3 linked regions of the Pelodiscus sinensis genome follow. The protein of the gene in region 2 interacts with the protein of the main gene of each other region in a biochemical or structural test. Links are inferred from orthologs where the notes say so. Each region holds a gene or a part of one and is shown on either strand. Other genes may lie near its edges.

Region 1 (7,806 bases), on a different chromosome or scaffold from region 2:
AGCTGCTCATAATCACTGGCTAGGTCTGCACCTCAGCCCCCAACCCTGACACATAACTTTCCCCCTTCTTCTCACAAATATTATGGAGCACACAGCAGGCTGCCACAACAATGGGAATGTTGCTTTTAATAGGTCAGACTCCAAAACATTCCCTTTACACACCCAAAAGCACACATTCTACCACCATTCTGCTCTTGCTCAGCTTGTAGTCAAACTGCTCCTTATTGTGTCCAGGCTTCCTGTGTAGGGCTTCATGAGCCACGGAAGCAAGGGATAGGCTGGGTCTCCAAGAATCACTATTGGCATTTCAATGCTTCTGATGTTAATTTTCTGGTCTGGGAAGAAAGTTCCAGCTTGAAGCTTTTTAAAGAGAGGAGAGTTCCTAAAGATGTGCACATCTAGCACCTTTCCCAACCATCCCACTCTGATGTCAGTGAAGCAGCCCTTAAGATCCACATGTGCCTGCAGCACCATCAAGAAGTACCCTTGTGGTTTATATATTCCTTTACAAGGTGGTTGGGTGCCAAGATGGGGATGTACATTCCATCTACCACCCCACGGCTACATCTCTATTGCAGCCTTCTTCCACAAAAGCTTATGCAAATGAAGTGCAGAGTAGAATGTGCTTCTTTTGCATAATTAATTAGCAGCCATTTTTGTGCAAGAGGCTTTTGAGCAAAAAGGAGCTGGGTAGACAGCTGGATTCTTGCAGCAGGTTCTGCCTGCGATGCACCCGGACCTGATGCAGACAGAGGAAGCTCCGTATTCCCAGAGCAGCCTCTGTCCTCATCATGCTCCTCAGGACTAGAGCAGCCCCCTGTGATTACTTTTCTAATTGATTAGTCAACAGATTTTCTGTCGACTAGTCGAGAAGGGTTAGGCAATACCAGCACTCAGTTTGGCTAATGCCAGTTCACAGCATAACCTTCTCAGCTGCTGCTCTGCACTGCACAGCTTAGGGAAGCCATCAGCGAAGGCGCTGAGTCGGTCCCTGTTCCAAGCATTTCTTTTCATTCATCACCACACTAAGGATGTTAAGGACTAGTCGACTAGTTGACTATCCAATAAGCAAATGCTTAACGGATAGTTGAGTTGACTAATCGATTCCCCGCCCCCTTGCTGCCTCTATTGGATAGAGGCAGCAAAAGGAGAAGGAAGAGGAGGTACTTCAAAGGCAGTGTTGCACAGCTGACCTGGTATAGTGTTTCAAAGCGGCAGCACTGCATGGAGCCCCAGGTCAGCTGGGATTTTCAAAGGAGGAACATAGAAGTGCCTATCGACAAGTGGATGGAAATTCCATCGACTACTTGACTAGTAAATTAACCGATATTTAACATTCTTAAACCACACACACACACACACACACACACACACACACGGCTGAATGAAAAGAAATGAGTGGAGCAGGGACCGACTGAGTGGCTTCCTTAGACCGGGCAATGCAGAGCGGCAGCTAGCGCTGGTGTGTGCTGAAAAATGAAAAAAAAAATGCGTGGAGCAGGGACCAACTCAGCTCCTTCACAAATGGCTTCCCCAGGCTGTGCAATGCAGAGCACCAGCTGGGGGGGATGCGATTAATGAATAATTCTAATCGATAAGCTCCTGCTTATTGGTCAGTCGACTAGATGATTAGTCACTAGCATGCCTTATTCCAGGCCCCACCAGTTAATCAGAACCAGTAAGCATCAGCTTTTAAGGGTGATGCTTGCCAATGAATCTTTCACATCCCTACCACAAAGATCACTACATTCAGCCTATTTCAGACCAATGTGAGGAAACAAGAGAGCCTCAGACACTTCACTGAGAATTCCCTGATAGCCTCTGACCCTTCTTTTAAGGGAGAGCTAAAAGAGGAGGGTTCCAGCTCCTGCTGACCTGGCAGTATGACTGATGGAGAGAAGCACTCTTTCAGATAAGCTTTAGAAATCATAATCACCTTATAAGCTAGACCAGGAGACAAACAGATAACCAGTGAAGAGCCCAAAGTACTAGTGTCTCATACTTCTAGTGAGGAAGCCTGCTCAATTCTGCACAAGCATAGGATCAGACTGGTTTGAAGTGCAGCACCTTTGACACCTAATCTTGAGGGGACAAAGGACTGAATAAGAGTGCCTTGTCTGCAACTGAAAGGGCTAGATGGTGACAGTAAACAGCTGAGTAGGATGCTGCTATAATACAAGTGTCACAGAGTAGCCACAGGTACAGAATCACTTAAAAAGTCCCAAACCCTAGTAACAATAGAATTGTGGGTTGTCAATACAACCTGCATGTCCACTCTACAGAATGTTCAGTCTAAAGCTCAGTGGCTGCACAGCCTCCATCTAACATTAACAAGCGTGACAGGAGCAGGACCAGCAGGGAAGCTGCCTGGCACCAACATTACTGGGGCCAGCCAAGGCAGGAACACTTACCCATTATCACCACCAAACACATAGATGGCATCCCGATAGGCAACCACAGTGTGTTTACTGCGCCTGAGAGAGAGAGAGAGTCTGTCAGACTTGGGGAGTCGTCACCCTGACCCAGCCGCTCTCCCAAGACCCTTCAGCCCCGCCCCTCTTCCCTGGCCCCTCAGCACCAGCCCCGCCCCCTCAGTCCCTGGCCCCTCAGCGCCAGCCCCAGCCCCGCCCCTCTCCCCTGGCCCCTCAGCTCCAGCCCCGCCCCCTCAGTCCCTGGCCCCTCAGCGCCAGCCCCAGCCCCGCCCCTCTTCCCTGGCCCCTCAGCACCAGCCCCGCCCCCTCAGTCCCTGGCCCCTCAGCGCCAGCCCCGCCCCCTCAGTCCCTGGCCCCTCGGCGCCGTCCCGCCCGGCGCGCGCTCCTCCGCCGCCTCACCTGGCCCCCACGAACTCGTCGCACGGCGGCAGGCGGCGCCAGCGGTGCACGGTCTCGAAGGGCCCGAAGTTGAGGGTCAGATACTCCACGCTGTCCGAGCAGCTGTGGTCAAAGTCCACGCTGGGCGCCACCTTGGAGCTCCCGGGCCCCGCCACGGAGGGGACCCCGACCGCCGCCATCGCCATCAGGAAGGCCCGGACCCACAGCCCGGCGCATGCGCAGCAGCGCCGGCGGTCCAGCGTGCCCCGCGCCACCAAGAGACTGCAACTCCCAGCATGCCCCGCGTCTTGGGCGACAGACAGAGGCTGCTGGCTCCCGGACACTTGGGGAGGGGGCGGGGCATCGGCACACGTGGGCTAGGGGCCTCCCCCCACGCGCCACGCCAGGCAGGTGCAGGGACTGGCGGGCTGGAGCCAGGGAATTCCTGGGGCGCTCAGGTGGCGTTTGGAGCAAGAGCGTGTTACCAGGCCCAGGTAGAACGGCGCCAGCTGGCCGCGCTGCTTTCAGACCCTTCCCCCAACACATTTGGGAATAGGGTTGTCACATGGTTTAAACAAAAATACCCGACGCACTTGCCCTGACATTACAATCTACAGGGCATCTAATTTAGAAAATACCGGACATTTCTATTTTCTCAATTTGTTTCCCAACCAGAAAGCTCAAATACTGGACGGTCTGGTTCAAAACTGAACACCTAGCAACCCTATCTGGGAATTTATTTCAAGATCTGAAATCTAGGTGATTTCCATGGAAAGGTAGCGCCCCTGCTTACTGCAACCCCAACCCTGGAGCACCCTGGTATCCAACCAGTTCTGAAGCAATAGCTATTCCTACACAAACACGGCTCCAGCAAAATCTCTCCCAACCCCGATAGTCCAGTAGGGCTGGGAAAGACTGGAACTCAGACCGGTCCTCATTCCCAGACCACCACCCACCTGGAGATTAGTCACTATAGCATGGCAGGTACACAAAATTTTTCCTCATCTACTACCTAAGTGTTTCCCTCCTTTTCTTAAGTGAATTCAGTTATTCCTAATGATTTTCCTCCCCCCATGCTTTGCCATATTCAACAATCCTACTTGTGCTCTCTCTCCCTAGGCATCAATCAGCTAACAGGTATCTATGTACCTTTTCTGGTCATTCCCTCCTAACACAGCCCCGGATCATTTCTGTCACTCTCCTACAAGAGCCCTGTTGTCCATCAGTACATTGGTGCCCAGAACTGAATGCACTGCCTTATTACAGCTCAAAGGGACAGACACTGGAGCATTTCGTTTTTTTCCTTCCTACCCCAAATCCCCAGTTACACTTAGACCCAGAATAAGCCCCATACCACAGGCTTTACTGGAAAACCTTGGAGGTGGGCAGGCTGTTCTAATGCCCTCCCCCACAGCACTGTAGAGGACATTAGAGATTTATGTTAGACCACATTTCTAGCATAAATTAGAAGTTACAAACTGGATTATAAACCAGAAATAAGTTTAACAACTATGAAGATGTAAAGGACTAGTCAATTCCCCCTCCCCTGCTGCCTCTACAGGTAGGGGCAACAAGGGAGAGAGAAGAGAAGGTAACTTCAAAGTGGCAGCCTCACATGGAGCCCACGCCCAGGCTCCATGTGGTGCTACCCCTTTGAAACGCCGGTGTTTCAGAATGGCAACCCCACATGGAGCCTGGGGTCAGCTGGAGACTCCCTTGCTGATCCCAGGCTCCATGCAGCACTGCCACTCTGAAATGCCAGCAGAGCCCAGGATCAGCTAGGGACTGATCCCGGGCGCCAGCACAGCATTTCAAAGCATGCAGAGCCTGGGGTCAGCTGATCCCGGGTTCTAGGGAATGCTGTGCAGATCCTGGGGTCCCCAGCTGACTCCAGGCTCCACATGTCATTTCAAACTGGGAGCACAGCATGGTGCCTGGGGTCAGTGGGAGACTGAGTCCCCCGCTGACCCCAGGCAGGTGTTTCTGCTTTGAAATACACAGGAGCCCCCTGCTGGGGACTCTTGTACATTTCAAAGCTGGCGCACTGCTCTTGTGCATTTCAAAGGGTAAGCACCCTCATGGAGCCCAGAGTCAGCAGGACTTCCTGCAGGCCTTGGGCTGCACACCCAGTTCTGCATTCCTCCTTTGAAATGTACAAGAGCCCCTCTTGGGGCTCTTGTACATTTCAAAGAAAGAATGTGGAAGTGCCTATGGACTAAGTCAATGGAAATTCTATCATCTTCTCAACTAGTATATTACTCGTTAGTTAACATACTTCATTTCCATGCCACAAAACACACTGCTACCCTCAAACATCTGGCCCTTCACTTACCTGGAAGTGTGCATGACTATTTTAGAGCCCTGTTTCCAGTGTATGGGATATCATCAAGCAATATCTGATGGCTCCTTCCTGCATTCCGTGTAGTTGAGATATGCCTTACATTTTCAGCACCAGGGCACCAGTGTTTTACAACAGGCCCTCTTAACATTCAGGAGCAAAACTTCATCAGCTATCATGCTAAAGAAATGCTACAGCATTATGTATCTTCTATTACTAATTTCAGGAAAGAACCATCTGATTCTTCAGCACAGTTAACCTCAGGATTTCAGAGAGAGAGAGAGAGACTGAGAAAGCAAGTTTGGCACACAAGTCAGATATTGCAGAAGATATCCTACAGCACTCAACCCTTTTTACTCCATTCACATGCAATGACAGAATGTAGTGTCTCTTCTCCTTCCATCATTGCTTCAGGAAGGTCGGGGCAGTCCTGTTGCATTTTTTTAAATGTTAACATTAACAAATAAACTAGGAGCATCAGCTTTCCCTGGGTTACTAAAAAGGAGAGTTAATTTTTATTTCAGCTGAGGAAAAGAAGAGCCACATCTTAGTAAGTTCAGCAGGGCTTGAGGTCATACAAGCTTTGTGAAGACGTACGGCCTTGTACTAGGTTCCTTTATAACTCCCACCTCCCAAACTAAAAGACCAACAGAAGAGAGTTAACTGATGGACCATACAGGAAAATGGTTCTCATTCTGCCTAAAAAGATATGAAAGCTGCAGAGGCAGTTACAGGTTTCCCCTCCTGCCTAGAGGGCCAATAGCAAACCAGGTGAATAGTCTCTAGGGAACAATTAAAGGAGAAGCTTTAACGGGCAAATGTGTAAAAAATTTAATTATTTCCTTCTATGAATCTGTTCATGCTAGGATATATTTTAGTACTTTTATCTTCGTTTTCCCCAATAGGGAACAATAGGCAAAGAAGTTTTATGAGATACATTGCTCTGTATATTTGCATAAATAAGTCTGTAATGTTATTTTACCATCCTATAAAAATACACATACTAATTTGTGGACTATAGCTTGCCCACTTCATATACATCTCAGTAGTGTGAAGGAAGTAGTGAAGTATTTCAGAGAACCAGTTTTATGGAATAAAGAAGTTACATGTATTTTCTCCCTAAACAATTATGATGGTTTGTATTGAGTAAAACCAGTCTTCAGTAGCCACATTCCACCAGAATTAAGACTGAAGTGGTAGCTTCCTGTCAGCATGTGCATACAAAAGCTTTCGCAAAGTTGCAAAGTTAAAGACTAGATAGAAACTCCCACCCACAATACGAAACAAGATGTTCATTTAGTTTTATTACAGCTTCCAATCCAAATTCTTGTAAACAGAGTCCATATTGTTTAGGCATCTCTTTGATAAAAGTGTCTGTAGTTTTATAGAAAAGTCACATGGTAAGATCAACATTTTACCCTGTTAAGTGTTATGCAAGTGCGAAGAAAAACAAAACTTTCAAAGTCTCAAAATACATCCAAGCAACCTACAAAAGACCTGATTCCGCTCTCATTTTGTCCAACTGTGTTGTGTGAAACTCAGTTATATGCCTCTTCAGAGGCAAATATAAAGTTTTTAAAAAATATTTAAGGACACATTATTTTAAGGACCTCCTGGAAAGGTGTTTTTTTGTTTTTTGTTGTTTTGGTGGAAAACAAAAGTGTTCCCCTGGTGATAGAGTGCAAAGCTCAGTCTTGTCTTCGGTGTTCTCAATAATCCTTCCCTTTACAGAGTCATGGTAAGACAAAGCTCAATACTTCGGGATGAGGAAGATCACATCTGTAACAGGTGAACACTGGAAAAAGTTTCATGTTTAATCACAAAACATGGAATAAGCTAGAAAAATATTGTCCAGCTATGTCAATACAGTTCATATGCCAATGGCCTGAAGCACTCTTCTCTCATTCTCATTGAGATGGTCTGAGAACATTGCATAGCAAGGCTGCTGTGCAAACTGACAGAGGAAATCAGTGAGATAAGCCTAGAAGGTAGATGACAAAGGACATAGTTAACATATTTCAATACATCTATCATTGCTTTACTTTGGACATTACAATTGCATAATGTGAGAGAAGACAAAGTGAACGAGCACAAACGAAGAGTGGAGGGGAAAGGGATACTGTGCTCAGCTAATAAGACAGATGCCTAATGCAGTATGGTCTAAGTACATGCCAAACAGACCAAGCCAAATGGGGTTCCCAAGCTCTAACCAAGGCATAGGTCAGGGAACACAGAGCCAGTCAGATCATTTACTCAAGACAGAGCATTGGGAGGTGTCTATGAGTACGCTCTGCAGTGGAAAGAAGCATTATTACAATCTGTTTCCTAGATTCTGACTGATTACTCACTCCATCTCCCCACAACCCAGGACTTCCCTGTAGCAGAATGTATTGTGTCACAGCTAGTTCAAAAAGTCACAAATGACAAAGCTTCTGTTGTTCCCTGACAAACTATGACATAACTTAATACACTTTAGTCCAGCAGTTTCCTTCTTAAATACATGCTTAGTTTTTCCGTAATGAAAATTTCACATTGTTCATCCCCTCACCAGAAGTCAGAAGAAAACAGGCTGCCGCAGAGGGCTGAGGAATAAGGGGAAACGTGGTGAAAGGAGGTTACAGTAGACGGAGGGAAGAGGACAACAGTTGGAAGGATAAA
Region 2 (7,397 bases):
GGCCCACAGGGGTATTTTGTTCTGCTTCTCACTTGTGTGCGACCTTCCTACTGATTTCTCTCTGGGTCAGTGGCCCCTGACTCAAAAAAGGCTCCCCACCCCTGGTCTAGATGATCTAGTGTTCCCTTCTGGCCTTAAACTCTATGACCTCATCTGCTGCAACCACTGCATTTAAACAAGTGCAATGCATCTATGCTGGGATGGGATTGTTGAAGCAGTACAACATCCCTGGCTAAAATCCCAGTGTAGACAAGCTCTTACAGATATAAAAGATCTGCATCGCATCTCCAACCCCTGGAGCCAGCCAGCCCTCCTCTTTGCATAATTTTCTTGCACATTTAGGCTATGATTTTCAAAGGAGGCTAAAGCTCTCTTAACAACTACTTAGTTACACCATGGCAGACCCTTTGTGGACACACTTCTACCAATTTAGAATAGGTTACATCAATTTAGCTCACCTGTAAAATTTACCAACACAAGCAAAATTCATTTATAATAAGCTCAGCCCAATACAAGGAATGTCCTATCCTTCCAACTCAAGTGTTCGCACCTTTTTCAGTCAGTTTAAAAGCACCCCTGCGGTTAAACTGGAACAACTGAGTGCAGGCCAGGTCCAAGAGAGTTTCGCACCTAATTCAAAGGCTTCTTTGAAAATCTCAGCATCATTACCCCCTAGTGTGCGCCCCACAGTGATGTACTGTATAAATGCTGTGCAAGGCATTTCAAGAGCTAACCATCAGCCATTCGGAGTTTGCTAATCCCCACTCAGACTTCCATATGGCTTTCCCTCCCAACTGCAGAGACAGGAAGCCTCACCCTGAGGCTATAGAAGGTTCTGAAGAGTTTCCCCTGACATTATTCCCAAGTGACATATCATGGGGAGTTATGTCCATCCCTCCTCTTCCTGTGGGTGGCCATGGCATAACACTTGAGGCTAGAAAGCAAGACACACCCTAGAAGGATCCTTGAAAGATTTCTTTCTCCTGTCCCACCCCCCAAAAAAACCCAGCATTCTGTTTTAACCCCTGCCTTTTAAAGGACTGCAGGACCTCCTCTGGAATGAAAGACAGACAGAGGAGTTATTATTACTGCAGCAATTCAATGGCACAGGACTTGAAAGAACAGTGACCACCCAGGCTCTGCTATTAGAAGTCTTGCTGTGCTATCAGCATAGACCACTCCCTAAGCTGCTGCCGACAGTGATATCACTGCAGGCATCAGTAGAGAGATACCCAGGGATCTGGGAGGGATGAAAAACGAGCGAGGCAGGGGAAAAAATAGGGAAAGGAAACGTGACAGCAGGCTGTTGCCTTCTCCTGGAGGATGCAGGGCCCCTCCCATGTATTTCCCCATGTTTTCTGGATTGGCAGGAAGTGTTTACAGAAAGCACAGTCATTGTAAGACTGGGAGGGCAGGACAGCAGGTGATTCTCCCCCTCCCTTCCTTTCCCGTTTGGAAACCCTGCCAGATTTTGGCAACCAGAAAGGAAGCTAAGAAGAAAGCACACAAGTCATCAGCAACCCTAAGATCTCAGGGCGACTGGCTCCCTGGTGCAAAAGGTGCAGAGGGATGTGGAATGCCACAGCTACTAGAGGGCCATTGGGCTGGGACATACAGGAGGAGACATTTCTACCATTACCAGATGACACACATTAGTTAACATGACTGCCACGATACTAGTGCACAAGCTTTTAAATCTGGAGGTATGAGAACCGCCCCTGTGGCCTCCCAAGCAAGCTGCTGGGGCCTGATTTGCAGGAAACAAAAGGGTCTGAAAATCAAGGGGAAGCTTCGGGCGGATGTAGGGAGTACACATTTGTAAATACTCAGAGAAATATAGGAAGAAAAATGCAGTCCCCCCCCCACACACACACAAACTCTAACAGGTGGCTCTCCGTCTCCCCTCACTACCTTCTTCCAGCGGGGTGCAGCGTCCGACACATCCAAGGCCAAAGCTGCTCTTTCACCCCAGCTCAGATCCCTTCCCAGACACACCCACTGTTGTCTTGCTTTTCCCTTCACAGACGTGACCCCTCCCCTGGCGGCTGCCCCCTCTCACAAGCACAGCCGTGAACACACGTCTCACCCCATGCAAGTGCTCGCTCGCCACCCACCTGGCAGGCACCCCACCCTCCCAACACACACACTTTTAAAACAGGCAGCCGCTTTCCCATTGCGGAGAGGGGCGGTTTGCCCTTCCCAGCTCACTTTGGAGCCTCCTAGTACAGCTGGTGCAGGATCAAGCGAGCGACCCGCCGAGCCGCCGCCGCCGCCTGCTCAGGCAAAGCCAGCTCTGCAATGCTGGACTGCAGCCGCCAGCCCTTACGGCGCACACATGCTCCCGGGCACACGCTGCCCAGGCCACTGCAATGCCGCCCTCAGCACTCCCGGGGGGTGGCGGGGGAGGGAAGGGGGCCGAGAGACACTTCCTCCTCCCCCCGCGCCCAGCGCCACCGCCCCTGCCCGCACTTCGGCAGCCCACCCGCCAACCCCGCTGCCCCGCCAAGCGGAGGAGACGGGGGGCACTTACCAGCGCGCCCGCCCAGGCTGCTTTCCTTGCGAGACAGAGAGCCGGGGGAGGGGGCAAATCCTCAGTGCGGGGGGGCGGCTTCTGCGGGAGCGGCGCACACAAAGTTTGGAGGGAAAAGGCAAAAACAAAACAAAAATCCCCCCTCCCGGCCAGATCCTGCTTCCCTCCCGGCGGCGGGTCAGCGGCGCGCCGGGCCCAGCAGCAGGCGAACTTTCCACCGGGGTGGTGGAGAAGCCCCCGGCTGGCAGCGCCCTCCCCGCATTGGCACCGAGCACTGGGGCGCTCGCGGGCTGCAGCGGCGGCGGCGGCTCGGACAATGTGTGTGTGTGTGTGCACCAGGGGCGAGCCCCGGCAGCGGCAGCGGCGAGCGGCACACGCCCAGGCTCCGCTCCCCGCCCAGCCGTCACTCACCGCCTCCCGCCGCCGCTGATAGGCCGCTCCGGGCCCCGGGGAGCGGAGCCACCCTCCTGGTGGGCTGCGGGCCGCGTCAGTCACCGAGGCGAACGGCGCCTCCTTTCTCCTCCGCCCCCTGCTGCCGCCTCGGCCGGGGCACGGGGCGGGTTATGGGGAAGCTGCGGCAGCGGGCGGGGAATTGCTCCTCGGCTTTTATTTTTAGCGCCTCGTTGCCAGCCCGTGGAGTCCAGCGACGCGGGGAGGTACCGATGCTTTATAACCTGGTGCAACAGGGACTTGTTCCGCCAAGGGTGAGTTGTAATCACCCCCGACGCATCAGAGGCCGAGGAGCACACAAATGGTCCAGCTGGACACACCTAGGCAAACGTTGTTTAAGAATGAGTTTTGATCTCCCACCTCTTCTCGCCCACTCCTTAAAGGAAACAGATATGGGGGGCCATATCCTCACCCCTCAAGCAACCTCATTGACTTCAGTGGAGCTGTGCTGATTTACCCCAGGGCTGGCTTTAGCGTGGTTGGGACCAAGGCATCCTTCCTTCTGTCCTTCCCTTTTCTTCAACTTGAATGGAGTGCTGGGGAAAGGTGCTGGCTTGTTGGAAGACCCTGGAGAATGGAGTTTTGTTTAGCCACAGAACATGAAGGGCCTGGGCATTTAGAAATAGGTAGGGTCCTACCAAATTCAAAATCACAACCATGAAAAATATGTCGCAGACTATAAAGTCTGGTTCCCCCCCCATGAAATCTGGTCTCTTCTGTGCTTTTATCTTATACTATGCAAATCTCACGGTGCAGATTAGATAGGGGTCCTGATACAAAGGAAGCTGCTGAGAGGTCACAACGTTATTTTCGAGGCATTGTGGTTTTGCCACTCTTAACTTCCATGCTGCCTGCAGAGCTGAGTGGCCAGAGTGTTGGGTGGCTGCTGGCTGGGTGACCAGCTTTGGAAGCAGCGCCTTGCCAGCAGCTGCACTGAAGTAAGGTTCGCAATACCATACCATGTCACTCATACATCTGCATTGCGGCCTTCAGAGCTGGGTGGCCAGAGAGTGGTGGCTACTGACCCATGGCTCAATTCTGCAGGCAGTAGTGCAGAAGCAAGAGTGGCAATGTCATGCCATCTTTCTGCATTGCTGCTGGTGCAGCTCTTCCTTCAGACCTGGGCTCCTGGCCAGCAGCTGCCACTCTGCAGCTACCCAGCTCTGTGCAGAAGTAAAAGTAGCAGTTCTGTGACCCTACCCCCAGTGCCTTAATGAGTTAGAACCCCAACAATTATAGCACCATGAAATTTCATATTGTAAATTTCGTTATATCAGATATTTAGATTGCTTAAACCTTATGACCATGAAGTTGACCAAAATGGACCACAACTAGGGTAGGGCCCTAACAAGAGAGTTGTTCTGTTCCCAAATCAGGACACTCCTGGGCATCTCCCATCATAATAAAAGGTATACACGTAAAACACTGCAGCGGTGCTTCAGTGAAGCTGTTCCATACTGTTGCAGATTTACGGGCGCGAGCTCCTACTCTCTGGCAGGAGGGCGGGGCCCTGCGAGCCCACCACCTCAGTTTACCCACGTAAGACGGGCTTAAGGGCATGAGCCGGCAGGAGCGTGGGGCCCAGCAAGCCCACCGTCTTAAAGGTCAGGGGGAGGGGAAATCCCTGAGGTCTCTCAGCCCCTAAGTCCTGCCCCCTCTTGGGGCTCAGTAATGACAGTCTGTCCACTAGGCCAATTGGCTGGCAGTACTCAATGCGCAATTAGAATGCAGTGTGGGGGGAGGAGGGGATTTAGGGGGACCCAGGCCCTCCCTCTCCACAGGGTCCCAGCCCGGGGCCCTAAGGGTTCAGCGTGTTTGACCCCTACCCAGCTGACAGGGTTCCACCCTGAAGCGCGCCGCCCACGGGCGCCTAAAGCACTCTGCCCCAGGCTGCTTCCTATCCCCCTCCTGAGTACCGACCCCCCCTGGGTTCATCCAAGGGGCTTACCTGTCCAGCGGCTTCTCTGGCACTTTGGTCTCTGCACCGAGCTTCCGGGGGATGCAGGCCGCTCCTCCACTGGGGTGGCAGACTTTGCTCCCAGCGCGGCGACAGGTGCCTCCAACTTTGTGCACCGCCCCGCTGCCCTCTTCTCCAGGACTTTTCAAGTGGCCCGCCGCTGGCCGCCAACAGATGCTGCTCTGCCCCTTCAACGTCCCGCTGCTCTGGGGCACCGCGGGTTTGTATTGGGGCCCCGCCCCCGCACACCATGGCCCTCTGCCATCCGCGCAGCTCCGGCAGCTGCTGGCTGCTGCTTCCTGGCATCGTGTCGCCCCACCCTCTTGCTGATAGAGTGGGCAGAGTCTTGTTGGTCCTAGTGTGGGCCTCGGCGGGCCCATCACACGCACCAAAAGGAGAGCCATAATGCTGTCTACACCAGGGACTGGGACCATATAACTCTCGCTCAGGGGTATGGATTTTTCATGACCTGCTTATACAGCTGTGACTGCATAGTGTAGACCTGGTCACAATTAGACTGCCAACCAGGGGGCCTTCATGGCAGTTTCTATGACTGAACACTGATCCACTAGGGAAGTTTAAAAGTGGGTAATTGGGTAACTGTGTAACTGATGAAAATCTCAGAGGTTAGAGTTATACACATCTGCAGCGTGGGGTGGCAGCTGAATCCCTGGGATGAAAGCTTATGAACCAAGTAGAAGGGGATGGCTTTGCATCAAGTGTAAGCTGCTGGGAAGCAGATGGATTCTCTAGGAACAAAGCACTGGAGTGAGTTGCTCTGTGAAAGGGGCTGCGAGGCAGATGAAGGTAGAAGAAAGTGGCCCTGGGAAGCAGCAGTTGCTAAGCTGTTTCAAACTGTGCCTGGGCTAGAACCCAGAGGATAGCAGGGGGTTCTCCCTTACCAGCTACATTGATTGTTTTAGGTAGCAGAACATTATTGCTCATTTCCATGATTCCATCCTGTGACTACCGCATGTTCATTTGGTCCCTTCTCGTAGTGTGCATAGGCATCTTCTGTGCAACTGAAATCGAGGCATCTGCAAGGGTCGGGGACGGAAGAAAAGGTCCGTGCAGTTTCTTGCCTCACATGGTTTCAGGATTTGGTTCTCCAGAGGGTGAGGAGAAAACTGGTCTCTCTGGTGAAAATGCCAGACTCCCCAATACCATTTTGCTGCTTCTCTTCCCAGATAACGTAGGCTCCTGGAATCCAGCTCGCCTGCAGATGCATCAGAGTTAATAATCATGGGTACCTTTAGCACATTTAGAAGACTGCGGCCACACCATTGGCAAGGCTCTCCCCAAAGCTTAAGGGTCACTTGCAGAGTGGCAAAAAGTGAACTAATAAGAAATAAAGTTTGAGAATGTGTTTTGTTTTCTTTAGAGAACACAGAATGCTTCCTGTTTCCCTCTGACATACATAATTTGCCATGACAACCAGCTTATGAAACAGAAAAGTATTGAGCATAAGGTGCTTGGTTGCTATGGTGAGGAGAGAAGCTGAGACCTTTTCCTCTTTGTTCATTGGTGGCCGTGCATCATCTAAGCAGGAGGGTCCAAGTCAATAAAAGTCCTTGTTAGGCTTGTAAGGCAGCAGGTTTGCATTGCATTATCTGGCAACATGGATCAAAACTGAAACACAGTCATTAGGAGGAATTAAGGAAATACGTGCCAGAACAGGGCTGGTTTCTTAGAAATACAGAGCCAAATTCAGTTCTAGTGTAAGCCAGTGTAACGCCTGCTGATGTCATTGGAAGTTGCATTTGCTTACACCAGGACTGAATTTGATTGCCATCTTTATCAACTTTCATATTTAGAAACTTCTTTTCCAAAGTGTGTCCAATGGGGAAAGCTCCTCTCCATAGATCTGAGAGGTGGGGCTGGCCATAGAGTTCTTGTTGCCTCAAGGTAGACTAGGCAGGCTTTAGTTATTCTATCATCTCACCCTGTCAGCAAGTATTGGGACTTTCTTTGAAAATACGGATTGCTCATGACTCATTGTGGAAAGTGCAGCTCATTAAGTCCACTCTGGGAAGTGAGAGTGGGCACAGAAAACTGGTTCGGGATAGAAAGAGGGGAAGGGGAACCCCAGAAACATCCTCAGATGTATTGGGTGGAGTGTAAGGCTGAATTTTGTTATGTTATTTAAACAATTAGCAAAATCGGTCTAGGAAAAGGGGAAATTTTGGACACTAAGTTAAGTACAGGTAGTCCCACTGCTCACATGCTTGAAGTTATTTGCAGTGTTGTAACCATGTTGATCCCAGAATATCAATGGGGTGGGTGAGATAATGCTTTATTGGACCAACTTCTGATGGTGAGAAAGACAAGCTTTCAAGCTTACACAGCACTGAAGAAGAGCTCTGTATAACTCAAAAGCTTATCTCTCTCCATCAGAAGTTGGTTCAATAAAAGATATTACCTCCTTCGCTTCTTGCTTGAAGTCAAGCATGTGCGTAAGTG
Region 3 (7,413 bases), on a different chromosome or scaffold from region 2:
GGTTTCTGCAGCCTGCTGGAAATTCCTCAGGTACTGGAGTAGGAAAAACACCCAATCAAGATACTTCAACTCCCTACATGCTTCCTTTTCCAGATCCCAGATGTTTTAAGATGAACAAGGACCCTGTTCTAATTATTTTTAAAAATGATATTCACATTTTATTAGTTCACATAGAGGTATCTGGTCTCAGTTTCTTTAGTTAGTAACTAGGTATTTCCCATAAGCTATTAATGAAGCCAACCACCAGAGTGAATTTAAGGAAGAGAACTCCCTCCTTCTCGATCAGTGTCTACTACACAGGTAATTTAGATTTGAATATGTACATCAGCACAGACTGAGCAGCAGTGTCAATGTTAACCTCTGAAGCATGCAATCCTATGCTAGAACCTGTTCATTTTGAAGAGCAGTTTATCTAATCATGATGTGCTTTGGAATATTATACTTTATGAGATTCTATGTGCTGCACAAGGTGGGGTTAGGAACAACGGACAATGCAGGACAAAAGAAGTCATTGCAGAAATGTTTAGCTGCTTTTAAAAAATTCCAATCCAGTGCTTCACAGGTTATCAGTGCCATCTTTTGGCAAGAGAAATTTAATTACTGTCCTCGCTACCTCTGTAACCATATTAACAATTATGAGGAGTAACAGGAAAAAGTAATTTTCAGTTCCTTAAATTAATGTTAATGCCCAGACAGAGTGAATGTCCATTCAAAACTGAACATGAAAGCATATTCATCAGCTACAAAAAGGGGAAGGGAAGAAAGAAAATGAACCATTTAATTTAGAGCCAGCGCTGGGCAGCAGAAAATCTGCACCCAGTCACTCCATCAAATATTAAGCTTTGATTACTATACAAGAGAGTCAATTAAAAAAAATCAATAATCTAAGTTCCCTTGACACCATCAGCAGTTCCACGCTGACAATTAAGTTCAATCAACCCTCCTCCAACCCCCAGTGTATCATTCAGCTTATTGAGAAATGCCCTTACATTGCTATAATGGCATCTTGGCAGAAAAATATACCTCATGCAACAATTCAGATACACCCCTGCATTCTAGGGATTATGTCCCATAAGCAGGTGCAACTCCAACTGAGATCAGAGCAAGACCTCTTTACCAGCAGGGATGAGCTGAATGAACCCAGATCATTAAATGATGAAAATTCTATAATGAAGGTAGGAACATCTTACAACACTATCGTTGTGATTACTCTGTGAATTTGCACCTTCCCAAAACGTGCATGAACAGGATGAGAAAAGACTTATCAAACATCACCAGAACTCACAGCACAGCTACTCTAAATCTTAAAACCAAGATGATCAGTGTTATGCGCTAGTGAGCAAAATGAACTCCTGAAGGAGCTCATGACTATGGCATGATAGACACACACACATTTTTCTCTGCCAGACTCAAAAACTCATCAGACTAATCTATCTATCTATCTATAGTGGTAGCAAATCAATAGTGTTTTATAGACAATATTACATTAGATCCCAATAAACCAGCAACAGAGCTCCATGCATCAAACCATTATCTGTCATCCTTCAACACAGCTATGTACTTAGCAAGCCTTTACAGCTCCTGAAGAGATAAAACAAGTGACTTAAATCAAGCATACATCAGCAAATACATTGTCTGAGTATCAGGTCATTTGTCAGTGGGGCAAAGGGCAAGGCATACAATGCTGTCAAAGTTGCAGATGAAGGTAAATACCTTGGTATGTAATAGGGTTAATAAACCAACAAGCTATAGAGAAAAAAATGAGGGGGAAATATATTCCACAGCTGGGAGGTTACTCAAGGTTTGAAGCCTGTGAAAGAAACAGCTCCCCTCTAATATACATACCACCACTGGCACCCTGAAGTAACCTTTGTCATCAAACACAGGTGCTCTCCTAGGGGAATTTAACTGCTTTAAACGATTTCTGATTAGATGCAACCAGGTTGCCCGGATTATCCCTTCTCAGGCAATGCGCTGTGCTCTTACATACACACACACACGCTCTCCGGATGCCCTCAGGAGCGTGTAGGGCAGGGGGCTGTGGAGACCACCTGTCACTGTCAGACACCAGCGGGGGGGGGGGGGGAGCAGGGATCCCACTCCTGTCAGGGGGCAGAGGGGTTGGGATGTGATTCAATTTCGCACCGAGAGGGGCTGCCGATCAGTGCAAGGAGGGGCGGGTCAGACATCTGCAGTGAGAAGGGGGGCGGTGGGGGATGCCAAGGGAAGCGATCGGTCACCTGCCAGGAGGGAGCTGGGGAGGGGGGAGAAGAGACACTTACTGGCGCAGCGCAGGACTCGCTGCTGCACCGCCTGCCCGCACAGGTCGCACCAGCCGCTGCAGAGCGCGAAGGTTTGGAAGCGGTGCCCTTCGCCCGTCTCCTGCCGCACGCGGGGGTCCCGGGGCTGCTCGAAGATGGTCCGCACGTCGGGCAGCAGGCGCGGCGCCCCGGAGCGCCGCCGCAGGCGCAGGTGGAGCAGCCCGGAGCGGGCCGGCTTGGCCGAGCCGGGGGAGTCCGGCGGGCTGGGGGCTCCGGCGCTGCCCCCCGGCTCCCAGGGCTGCGCGGCAGAGCACGCAGCTAGCGCCGTGCGCCCGGGCTCCTCCGCGGTGCCAGGGAACCTCCCGTCTCCCGGGCGCGCCCCGTCCGCGGGCGCCCCGCCGCTTGCAGCCACTTGCGCCGGCGGAGCATCCTCCGGCGCCGCGCCCCGCTGCTGGGGCAGGGTCCCCTGCCGCCTCCGCGGCTTCGCGTCCGCGGACGCCGAGCGCTTGAGGATCTTCTTCCTCTCGTGGGCGCTCAGGCTCTGCAGGAAGAGCTGCTGCTCTTTGTCCAGGAGCAGCGGGCAGGGGCACGGCCCGATGGCCGGGGAGGCCATGGCCCGAGCGAGCCGCGGCCCGGCGGAGCGCAGGGGTGAATTGGAGAGACAAGGGGGGGAGCCACCTGGAAGCGCCGCTGGCGTAGCCGCTTGCGAGCGCCGCTGCAGTGGGAGGCCCCGTTAAACACACAGGGACACGCGAAACCCGCCGCGAGCCTGAGATTGGAGCAGCCGCTGCGGCACCAGCCAATCAGGCACCCAGCCCCACTGCGCTGGGGGAAACGCCCTTCGTTCCAGGCACAGTCCCTGCCCCACCGCGCGTGCAAACCGGGGCGCAGACCCCACAAACCGGAGGGGACAGGGAAGGGGGGCGCAGCTCTGCTAAGAGCCGGGGCAGAACCCAGCAGGGAGCTATTGAAACAACTGGCAAGGAGCCCGGTTGCAGTAGGACCACACCTGTGGGAAATTGAAAGTTACTTTTCAGCACTGCTGCATAGGGGGCACCTGTGTGTACTTACACCCATGCCTGCATGCCCCGGCCAGGCACCTGTTTACAAAGAAAGGAGACAGGAATTCAAACGCGGCTACCAGTCCTCCCAGCAATGCCCAGCCGATGCCTGCCTGAAAGGGGAATTTTTTTCACTGATCTAAGGGCTCCCGTCCTTGCCCAGAAGTGACTTAGGCAGTGAGGGAAATAAAAAGCCACACAAGTTTTAGGCTGCTGAGGGCCCAGGCCACTTTTGACAACAGGATGTTATGGGCAGAGGCTTAAAAAGGTATTTAAGCACCTAGTGGGATTTTGCAAAGTACCACCACAATTTCTTCAATAAGTGGGGAATCCGTTTGTGCCCCTGGGGGGTAGCACACACAGTTAATGAGCGGGCTGCAAGACTGAAATAAACCCGCATGCATTAATCATGACCCCAAGAATAAGATTAAATATGTTAATATGCAGCATATTTCAAAACAAGTTGAAATGCTTTAATCATTCATGGATTAACAGAGTGGTCCTCAACTTCAAATAATAAAAAAGAAACAATTCACACAATATCAATTCTTTATCCGGCCTCTTCCCTGCCTCCTCTCCCAAGTGCTTCGGGTCCCTGCTCCAGCCCCTCACCCAGGACTTCATGGTGTTCTAGCCCTGGGAGGTTGGAAGAAGAGCAGCCAATTTGTGGCTCTCTGGAAGTGCTGGGAGGAAGGGGGAGGAGTAGGTAAGTGCAGGACCCCGGAGGCACGGGGAAAGCAGGTGCATGGGCTACATGTGGCCCGCAGGCTGCAGGTTGCCCACTGCTGGGTTAGATAAAGCTCTTTTTAAAACACAGAGATAAATAACCGTAAGGGCTATAGAGAGTTTACAGCACTGCTTCCTTCCCCTCCATTACTAAAGCTCACCTCTGCACCACATTTGGGCCCATTAACTGCACTTTCCTCAACACTTCAACAGGAAACTGTACAAAAATGCAACACTGGTTTTGGAGATGAATTTTTGAATGGCTAATTTATATTTATTAATAAAGTAAATTACAGTCTTTACTAAACATTCAGCTTCTACAGACCTGTATTTTTATACACATACAGGGACACGCTGCAGCTGGTGAGCTGAACCATTGCCAATTAAGTGAACCAATATTTTCTCTGTTTCCTTGTCCTCCCTTGTAGGTTTGTATCCACTTATTTTATAGGTAGACTATAAGCTCTTTGGGGCCCAGACTGTCCTGTTGTTCTGTTTGTACAGCGTTTGTGCGCCTGGTCTAGACAATCATTTAATTTTCCACCTTTATTGCAATCACTTGTTTATTTAAATGCTCATTTTCATGGTGCACCAAAATATTCTCTTGGGTACTTGCTGTTAGATGCCTAACTCCGTATGAAAGACACTTTGTGAATGCCCCTTGCCCCTGAATGTCCAGTCAATGGAATGGGAACAGCATCTGCTCAAGAGCCTCTGGAAGAAGAAAACAAAAATCAAACCATTTACTTAGGTGCCTAACTTTGGGCTCCCAAGTTTAAAAGGCTTTACTGCTGTTTTTGTGTATGTGTTTCATTCCCTGCAAGACAAGTGAAAATAAACCCAGCCACTTGCCATTGCAGACAGCTTCTGGTGCTAGCATGACCTAGCTCAGGGGTGAGAAACCTAAGGCCTGGGGGTTGGATGTGGCCTGTGGCTTGCCTGGATCAGACCCCAAAGGCTCAGGGCTCCCCCCTCCAGCTCCCTTCTCTGCCATCCTCCTGTGGGGTTGGAGCACCCAAAATCTAGCCTGGGCCCATCTAGGCTCTAGTGTGTGAGGGGAAGGGAGGGAGGGTCTTTCTCCTTCACAGTCGGAGGCCACATTGGTGAGGTTTTTTGGTTGTTGTTTCTCACTTGTGTGTGGCCCCCGACTAATTTTTCTGTGGGTCAGTGGCCCCCAACCCAAAAAAGTTTCCTCACCCCAACTCACCCCGACCTAGCTGGAAGCAGAATTAAATAATATTTGCGGGGGGGGGGGGGTTGTTGAGGACCCTTTTTGTTTCAGGTTTCAATTTGAATTTTAAAATATCCCTGAAATGCTTCTTTTGCTTTTAAAAAACTTTTGAGGGAGGGGCCAAAATCCATTAACATAAGAGCATCCATACTGGAGCAAGCCAAAGGTCCATCTAGCCCAGTATCCTGTCTTTCCACAGTTGCCCATTGCAGATGCTCCCAGAGGGAATGAACAGAACAGGGAATCATCAAGTGATCAATCTCCTGTTGCCCATTTTCAGCTTCTGACAAACAGATGCTAGGGCCACCATCCCTGCCCATCTGGCTAATAGCCATTGATAGACCTAACCTCCATGAATCTATCTAGCTCTTTTGTTATTGTCTTGACCTTCACAAGGAGTACCACAGGTTGACTGTGCATTGTGTGAATAAATATTTCCTTTGTTTTAAACCAGCTATTAATTTCATTTGGTGACCCCTAGTTTTTGTGTTATAGAAATGATAACTTTTTCTTATTTACTTTCTCCACACCAGTCATGATTTTATAGACCCCTATCATATCCTCCTTTAGTCTTCCTACAATTGCCGCTTGGCAAAACTCATTCTTTTCTATGCCTTTTGTATCAAGAGAAACAGAACAAAGGCTAATTGAACATTAAATGTAATATTGTGCTGCCTACAGTGCTTCTCAACTAGGGAACACCAAGTACTTCCTGAACATCACTGAAGGCTCACTAAATGCCCATGAGGCAGCTACTGTTCCCATTTTACAGACAGCGTGACTGAGGTAGAGAGAGAGTAATTAGTCTAAGTTTTTCAGAAATGACTAATTAGTCTGGGTGTCTAACAGGATAGATGCCTTAAAGGGTCAGATTATCAGAAGGTGAATGCTCCACAATTTTTGACCCTTTACGGCATCTCAAGTTGGATGTTTAAACAATCAGATCTTCAAAATCACTAGCCACTTAAAATTTTTGGCCAAGACCACATGACAAGTAGGCAGTAGAGCATAGATTGAATTTGGTCTTCCAGGTCCCAGGCTACTATTACCGCACTACTTTTTCTTTGTGGTGTAATTTCTCTCATATGGGTGTAAAACTGGTGTAAACTTCAGTGGCATTACTCTTAAATAGTTGTCAGTGGAGTTACTCCTAAATTACATGGGTTCCAGGGAGAGGATAATCAGAGATAATTGCTTTTCATTTGCTATAGTGGAGGGTAAATTTGTTCTCATGTGTCTGTTTCTCAAGGGAGTTAGGGATGAATCAGATATTTAACCCCAAAAAGCGCTGGGAGATCTGTGTTACAAGCTAATAGTGCCATAATAGCACATACATAGCATGATGCTCAAGTCAGTTATCAAACAGCAGTCCAGCTTGCAACATTCTAGTTTCATTCTTCATTTTAGCACGAAGTTGGTCCCCCCTGCCCTATGTTTTCTTAAAATCCCTTCTCCCCTGTTCATTTTATCATCATCACAAGCAACCTCTCTTTTCTATGCAACAAAGGGCTGTTTTGCGCTCAAGCGACAGTTACAACATAGCTACAGCCAACCCACCCACCCAATCCAGTAAAAGAAAAAACGTGGGGAATATTTGTGACAGGCTAGCGCATGTTATGTGAAGGCTTCTTCATAAGAGATTGAACTTGTGTTGTATGAGATTTGAAAAAAAAAATAGAACTTAAAATAAATATACATGGGCCCCAAGAAAAGTCAATCGAACAGTTTTACTTCATATGCAATTGTGTGTCAGAACCCAATGGGGGAAACTGAGTGTGTCCTTTGTAATTATGGGGTTGCTGAACTGTAAGAATTCACTTCTCATGTGTCTCTTGTCCTGTTAATACTGGGTCTCTTGACCAACACACAGGACCAAGACTCAGGAATTCGAGTTTCCAACCTTGTTCTGATATTGATTTTGTATGTGACCTTGTGCAGATCACTTAACCTCTTTGCCTTAGTTTCCCTACCAGGGAAGTGGGAAAATTTATTTACCTGAAAGATGGAAGAGAATTGAGTGAATTAATATTTCTGTAGGGCTGTGTAGTCTTCTGCACATTTAAACAGATATATCAGTTCTACAGATGAATTGCTTTGCCCCCAACAAAAATATGGCAACCTCTGAGATGACGCT

Evidence for each region. The genes of interacting proteins can lie anywhere in the genome.
Region 1: of the proteins of HRAS (region 2) and LZTR1, one has a biochemical effect on the other in vitro, tested with the Homo sapiens proteins (3 studies listed by BioGRID, with this or other methods). The link is inferred for Pelodiscus sinensis from reciprocal best matches to the Homo sapiens genes HRAS and LZTR1.
Region 3: the proteins of HRAS (region 2) and RASSF5 form a complex in vitro, tested with the Homo sapiens proteins (2 studies listed by BioGRID and IntAct, with this or other methods). The link is inferred for Pelodiscus sinensis from reciprocal best matches to the Homo sapiens genes HRAS and RASSF5.

Annotation. Positions count from the first base shown.
Region 1 is NC_134737.1:16,320,559-16,328,364, forward strand, and holds the start of LZTR1 (leucine-zipper-like transcriptional regulator 1), read right to left. Parts: upstream 3,017-7,806; coding exon 2,832-3,016; intron 2,475-2,831; coding exon 2,412-2,474; intron 1-2,411. Other genes in the region: IPO9 (importin-9), read right to left, coding at 7,019-7,129. UniProt on the Homo sapiens protein: Substrate-specific adapter of a BCR (BTB-CUL3-RBX1) E3 ubiquitin-protein ligase complex that mediates ubiquitination of Ras (K-Ras/KRAS, N-Ras/NRAS and H-Ras/HRAS).
Region 2 is NC_134714.1:121,452,001-121,459,397, reverse strand, and holds the start of HRAS (GTPase HRas), read right to left. Parts: upstream 3,014-7,397; 5' UTR 2,942-3,013; intron 2,894-2,941; exon of another isoform or gene 2,531-2,893; intron 1-2,530. UniProt on the Homo sapiens protein: Involved in the activation of Ras protein signal transduction. Ras proteins bind GDP/GTP and possess intrinsic GTPase activity.
Region 3 is NC_134737.1:6,050,577-6,057,989, forward strand, and holds the start of RASSF5 (ras association domain-containing protein 5), read right to left. Parts: upstream 3,017-7,413; 5' UTR 2,875-3,016; coding exon 2,283-2,874; intron 1-2,282. UniProt on the Homo sapiens protein: Potential tumor suppressor. Seems to be involved in lymphocyte adhesion by linking RAP1A activation upon T-cell receptor or chemokine stimulation to integrin activation.